2 linked regions of the Kluyveromyces lactis genome follow. The protein of the gene in region 2 interacts with the protein of the main gene of each other region in a pairwise test. Links are inferred from orthologs where the notes say so. Each region holds a gene or a part of one and is shown on either strand. Other genes may lie near its edges.

Region 1 (4,114 bases), on a different chromosome or scaffold from region 2:
AAATTTTTCTGCATTTATAACCCTTGTGATGGCTACAGGTATGTGATCCAGTTCTGCCCGGGAGAAAACCAAGATTTCTGGAATAAGGGCAATATTTTAACTAACTTAAAAGAGTTTTTAGGCCCCAATTATCTTTCCTGGTTTATACCTTCCATTTTAACACACAAACAAAGTTATGGTAAATCTTCAGCTAATTACTATGATCTAATTGGAGACTGTAACGAAGTGATGAGCGAGAAATTTCAGAAGTATATGATCGATAAGATAGAACGAAAAGAGTATGTAACAAGATTGGTAGTATAGACATATAGAATCAATGCTTATCAATCCATTCCTGCATACGTCTAACTTTTATGTATTTCCATAATGCTAACACTGATGAATACTCGATTTCAAAGATTAAATATGCCTACACGAAAAAGAACTTAGTACTATTTAAAGGGTATATACAATCATTTCGAGGCTGAAAGACTTGCGAAACTGGAAAAATGTTTGACAAGTTCAAGTTCAGTTTTCAAAGTTTCATATCTATAATTGACTCTTATATCTGGAACATTGGTTTTTTCAAGATCATTCCCTTCGATACCTTCTTTTTCAAAGTGTTTACCGATCCAGTGCCTTTTAATTTGAGCTTCCCAACCACTCTGCATAACAGAGTTTTTGGCAAGTTCACACATATCAACGTTGGACAATTTGTATATTTGTGCAGCAACAGAATACTCTTCAATTAAAGGTTCTCTAGTGTAAGAAAATTGCAATGGATCATCAGTTGAAAGCGAAACATTGAGACCTCTTTTGAAATAGTATTGGAATGGGTTCTTATCGTACGTCAAGAACAACGCGTTATTTGATAATGGGGACATAGCAATCCCAATTTGATCCAAATAGAATAAATATTGTACGAATGGAATCTTTCTCAAGAGTATACCATGATTAATTCCTTGAGCTAACAAGTAAGCTGAAATTAAATGTTCAGGATCTCCTGCCTCACCACAATGTGGTCTTAAGACTAACGTATTGAAACCACGCTTTGCTCTCCACCAGTTCAAAGATGCAATGTTCGCGTACAAGTAGTATAGTTGGTACGAATATGGTGGATTTTGAGTTGAATCCCAAAGAGTTGGTTTTGGATATTTTTTCTGGAAGCGCCTATCCACTTTAGATTCATCATCAACACTATCAAAACCTACAACGCGTTGTAGGAAAATGTGTAGCTTAGGGTGGGATTGTGGATTTTGTGTTACCTCAAATAATGGCAAAAAAATGCTTTTACAGATATCAAAAAAGTTCTCGACAATTCCCGTTTTCTTATAAACATCATATAATCTTGGGATTTGGATCAACCATCTCACATTGTGAGAGATAAGCTTGTTATCAACCACCCAAGCAGCCAATTTATCCCACTCGTCAGGAGATCTTCCGTAGATAGAGATTCTGTACTCGCAGTTCTGATATTTTGAATTTTCCAAATCTGAAATGACTTCCGTTGTTATTTCAGCGAGATACTTACCATCGATATAATTGTCGGTTTTTAGGAATATCTCACGTAAACGAGATTCCCCAATAGGATTATATTTCAAATTGAATTTGTCAAACCTATGAAATGTATCCTTGTGTGCATGCATATCCAAAGTATCGATAGAAAGGTCATACCCTGACAGTTTCAACGATTGGAAGACCTCTTCTAATGTCAAGATTTTTTCATCTCTAAAAATGACCTTTTCATCTTTCGAATGGCGCAATTTATGCTTTATGAAACGAAGCAAATGCTTTTGATTCATACATGCCGAATGGTGAACGTGAGTATCTACTTTTCTGACATTGTAGAAATCTCTATGAGGGTTCTTTTTTGATACAGCAGTTTCATGATATTCGTTTAGAAGCGAATACAAATTCCAACGAGCTTCAAGGTATTGCAATCTTCTGAAAGCAAATGATTTTGCTGGACCATCAGAGGAGACAGAAATGATCTTTTCCATGTCAATATAATATTCACGTAGTGTTGGAAAGACGTTTCCAGCCTGTTTTTTGTCCTCAGTTTTAGTATCATATAAAACATAAACTTCATCGCTATTGAGTCTGAAGTCCACATCTTCATCTAAGCCAGGAATTTCGCATTCATTAATGTCAAAAGATTTTGAGTCTGGCAAATTACTGACCTTCACAACAGTTTTATTTGCTGCATTATAGGAAGGTTTTGGCGGTGGTGGATAAATTTTCCAATCAGGTCTGTTCTTCGGGTTTTGATGGTGTTTTTGTAATGACAAGGTTTGGTACTTCTCTCTCAGTTCCCTGCAATCGCTGACACTTGAATACAACTCTACCAATTCAAGAGAGGGTGAATCGTAGGAATGCTGACCATCATCAGCAATTAGGCCCATCTTATATTGAGCTGATTTGATCCGTTCTACATCTAAGATCTGAGCAGATGATGATGATGATGGCTTTTGGGACATTGGACTAGATATCAATACCTCTGGTTCCGCTTGTTGTGCAGATAGTGAAAGTCTTCGTTCATGGCGAGGTATTCCGGCTGCAGCGACTGAAGCAGCTGCGTCCAATGGCGAATTACCAAAATACGAAGGAAATTGTGATTTCATACCGAGATTCGAGTCGACGCTAGCATTGTTGCTGTGCAAGTGATCTAGTGCTAACTTTTTGATCCCTTGCTCCAATAACGATTTCCCATCATGGTATGAAAAATGGGTACTAATCGAATGGTTGTCAACATCGTTGGGATCCTCTTCAGCATCGTAAGATGTTGCAAACTCATGGGTATTTTGGTGCTGCCCGCCTTCGCCCTCATTTGGATATGGCATTTCCAATTGGGACTGTTTCATACTATTATCTATATCAAAACCATTCATTATAGACGAGCACAAAATCGTTGGGCAATTTTTTGCTGAATGAGGGATCTAATTGAGGTAGCTATTTTTCTATAAATGCCAGTACCTTACTTCCTTACTTCTTCTCCTGTCCCTCTATCTTTTATAATGTCCAGAATACTCAAACGAGATTCTTTAATCTTTTAGTCTTAAGTCTCTAGTTTATTTTTTCTTTCTTCAACTTCTCTCAACTTCTGTAATAGAACAAAGAACAAGAAGGTACCCTAACGATGCGGATAGCAAGCTTCCGATGTCAATTCTCTAAATGTGCAGGAGGGTATTACCCTCAATCTATATAGAGAAAACGCCTTAACTGAATTCAAATATTGATTCCGCAAGGCCGTTAGCGCGTATGTATTCTTGCTCCCACTGATCATATCCTGTTGGCAAGTCGCCACTAATTCCCCTGCGCCAGAACAAATCCCCATGCAAAACAAGCATGGCCCAATAATACTCGTATTCATGACTGTACAAACACACCTGCTTGTATGTTTCACAGCAGAAACCCTTGATTAGCCATGAATTGTCGAGCATCGTAGTCGCATCACTGATCGATTGGCTACCATATTTCACAAGTATACCTACAAGAGTCAGGTACCAAGATCGTATATTGAAAATGACTGTTTCCGAAGTATCATCATCATCCACAAAGAGAACATTATCATACTGAAAGCGTGGGTCGGATATCATTTTGGTCCGTATTGGTTGTATGCACTACGTTTTTATACATATTATACAATGTTACTTACTAGCTGGTGTCTTTTTTTCTCAGTTCCTTTAGGTTAATTAACGATTTCCTTTATGCTTTGATGAGGTTGCTCAATGACAAGCACTTTATTCCACTGAGAGGATTGGCATCTTTGTCCATGTAATTTATTGCTCTTGATCAGGAATATAAACCAATTAAACCGGGTCAATCATCAGGTTATGTCAGAGCCTTGCGCAAATCTCTAATGGAAATTCATTTTGCTTCTCAATTAAAAGGAAGAGTATTCTCGAAGGATTTAGTCATACTACTCTAACACCAACAAACAGGAAGACACAGTTATTTTAACCTTAGAAAGACATTTACAAGGGTCGAAGATAGTCAGTTGTCAATGTCTGTTCTACTAAATCAATTTGAACAGCCTGTTGGTAAACCAATATACGATTGGACTGTAAGAAAACTTCCTGAGGATATTGTGGTCCATGGTGAACATTGTCTAGTCGAATCTCTTGATGTTAACAAA
Region 2 (3,098 bases):
AAAGTGAAAGGGATATTCAATATGACAGGGCAGGATGCCAAGGAAGCTGCTGACACGGCTTCAAACAAGGCCAGCGATCTTGCAGAGAAAGGTAAGGAACACGCCCAAGCCAAAGGTAGAGAGGCTGCTGCCAAGGGTAAGGAAGCCGCTGCCAAGGGTAAAGAAAAACTGGAAAATGCTGCTGACAAACTAAACGAATAAAAATAAGGAATGAGATGATGATAAAGTCCGGAATGTCGATGTCCTCTTTTCCCAATAAACCAAATTACCTGATCCTTTAAGCAGCAGGGTGACAATAAACGCCCTTGTGCTAATATTCTAGCATTCCAAATGCCGTATCTGGGGTTCGAGCAATGGAATAATAAATGTGTAGTAACCACAAATACATATATAACGTGAAACAAGAGAAAAATACAACGTAATTCTTCTTAATACTTAGTCTGAAACTTTCTGAAGCTATCACATCTTTAACTTAGCATTTGTGACCCGCCATATTCAATTCTTGTCCATCACCATGTAATCACTGTTGATTCTGTAATAGATGGTCTACCGAGGTTGAATCCGCCAGTTCTTCAGAAGTATTCGATTTCTCAGATTCAACAGGTACGCCATTTTTCCTTTTCTTAATCAACTCAAGATAGTTGTATGGAACGTACCCAATATTTCCTTGTTTTGTTCTGACTTTCCACCATTCAGAGTTATTTCCTAGTGGATCTTTCTTGGAAATGATTGCCATTAGATCTCCTTTCTTTAAGTTACATTCAATTCTTGGATTCTCAGGAACGAAATCATAGATCGCTCTTGCAAATTCTAGGTTATTAGGATCTAAGATTTGTTGTGCCATAGCGCCGCCAGCTATTTTGGCTTTTTGGTGCTGTTGTAATTTCTGAATAAATTTGTTCAAAAGGTACGGGAAGCCGAACACAGCTGCTAAAAACACAATCAATGGTTTCCATGAAATTCTTCTACCCTTTTTCTTCGTCAGATCTGAGTCCCTGAATTCTTCGATAAATTGTTTTGAAAGATCTGAGCCCTGGCTCTTTCCGCCCTCTATCCCTAAGCGCTTTTTGGAAGGCGCTACTCCCATCTTACCACCTGTAACTCTGTACAAGATCTTTTTTACGAATTTTATCAAGGCAAATATACCAAAGAATGATCCCAAAAGCTCCTTCATATATTGAAACTGTTCCGCAACGGTTATCATAGTGAAAAAAGAGTTATGGGTAGCCATATATGTAGCTTCTAACATCTGGGCGAAACCAGCAACGGCTCCTATAAGCCCTTCTATTAACTGGAAAGTTGCCTGTGTTGACTCTGCAATCCCCGAGGGTCCTCCATTCATACCGTTCATACCGTTCATCCCATACATTGATCCGAACCCTCCCCCATACATCGACCCTAAACCACCGCCGTACATCGACCCTAAACCACCACCATACATAGAGCCATAACCACCTCCGTACATGGATCCATATCCACCACCCATGGAACCCATTCCATATCCTGTACCTAAACCTCCACCATACGCCGAACCATATCCAGACATACCATTTCGAAGAGGGTTTCCCCCGTTCAAAGAATCCATACCCTCATTTAAACCGTTCGGTTTGGATGGTAAGTCAGGCTGATTACCAGATGGTTGCAACGCACTGCTATTCTCAGTAAAACTGGCATCAGTTCCTAAACTCTCAACTCCATTTTTCTGCTCCCAGGGCTTCGGTCTGGAAACACCTGCCGATTGTGACATGACTACTGATGCTCTAATAAATATGAACTTCGATCACAGCACTTAATAGAAGCCAAAACCGCTACAATCGATGTGTATTCATCACTGTCGTTACCTGTATTTAAGCTCCACGACATGATTCAATGTTACTTTTAGAATCATCGTCAATCTTTGAAATATGCTTTGGCCGGGTAACAAGTTACTATTTCCTGCGTCGTGACTTAAAGACAATAGTAGATATCGTCTTTTCATCAGCAATAGACGATATCTTTTCCACGAAGAACCGTTGGATACTTGAATGAAAATCCTTATTTCCTTCTTTTAAATATTTTGTATTTAAATTGGTTCCGAATGACACGCATATTATGTATATATGTATCCTTGTTATTATTGAAAGAATGTATAAAAGTTCGAAATGAAGCAGCTGCAATGTGAGTTGAATGTATCTACTACAAAGCTTTATCAGCAGCATTGGATAGTTGTAAATATTGAATCGAAAATGTTGTCCGTATTATGCTTGAAAAAAATTTGTAATTATCTTATGAAAAGTCCTTCTTGTGTTTGCTTTCTTCTAAAGAAGTTAATTGTATGCGTAAATTGAAACCATGCTGTAGTCTCGTTGGATTAATACTCCCCGATAATACCTCGCCTTCGTCACAATCTAATGTCGTAGTACTGTTATGAGCGGTAGTGTTGTCGGGATCGCTGATATGTAAACTAGATTCATCTGGCTTACTCTCCGATTTGGATTCAGCCAGCGCGTCGAGTTGTTCAACTGTTAAGTACTTTACCCTGTTTTTCCTTGGGCTCAGTCTGGATTCCAAAGCCTTCTGAATTCTTCTGCATTTAGCTAATTCTTTCTCTAGCTCTTTTATCTTTCCTTCAACAGCGATCTTTACTAGTGCATCTGATTTGAATGGTGGTTTATTCGATATATTCTCCCGTGACCTGTCTGAATTGTGAATTATGAAGTCTGTATTTGATATTCTTGGTAATTGTTGTATATGCTGTAATAACGAGCTGCTTTGGAAGGTCAAGGACTCATTTGCTCTCGTTAAACTATTGTTGATATCTTTTAAATTCTCGTTATCCAAATGCAATTTATCGTTATCCAGTTTCAACTCATCAATCTTCAGTTGAAGTTTCTTGATTGTCAGATCTAGTCTTTCTTTGTCGAAATGATGATCGTCAGGATATTGGAAATCATCTTTATTATTCAGCCACAGCTGTTCGTCATTCATGAAATTTGATAGTATACTATTTCTTTTGTTATTGACAGCCCCATTGTTATCATTTAATCCATTTTGTACCTCCTCATCAGCTAGCATTTGAAGTTCAAGATCAAGTGTTACAGTCGGTGAACTTGAAGTAT

The links.
Region 1: the proteins of PEX13 (region 2) and KLLA0_D06171g interact in a two-hybrid assay, tested with the Saccharomyces cerevisiae proteins (2 studies listed by BioGRID). The link is inferred for Kluyveromyces lactis from reciprocal best matches to the Saccharomyces cerevisiae genes PEX13 and AMD1.

What each region holds. Positions count from the first base shown.
Region 1 is NC_006040.1:528,452-532,565, forward strand, and holds KLLA0_D06171g (uncharacterized protein), read right to left. Parts: upstream 2,868-4,114; coding exon 453-2,867; downstream 1-452. Other genes in the region: palmitoyltransferase PFA5, read left to right, coding at 1-303; KLLA0_D06193g (uncharacterized protein), read right to left, coding at 3,195-3,575; KLLA0_D06215g (uncharacterized protein), read left to right, coding at 3,983-4,114. UniProt on the Saccharomyces cerevisiae protein: AMP deaminase plays a critical role in energy metabolism.
Region 2 is NC_006041.1:1,756,162-1,759,259, forward strand, and holds PEX13 (peroxin PEX13), read right to left. Parts: upstream 1,748-3,098; coding exon 521-1,747; downstream 1-520. Other genes in the region: KLLA0_E19713g (uncharacterized protein), read left to right, coding at 1-201; MMR1 (Mmr1p), read right to left, coding at 2,266-3,098. UniProt on the Saccharomyces cerevisiae protein: Component of the PEX13-PEX14 docking complex, a translocon channel that specifically mediates the import of peroxisomal cargo proteins bound to PEX5 or PEX21 receptors.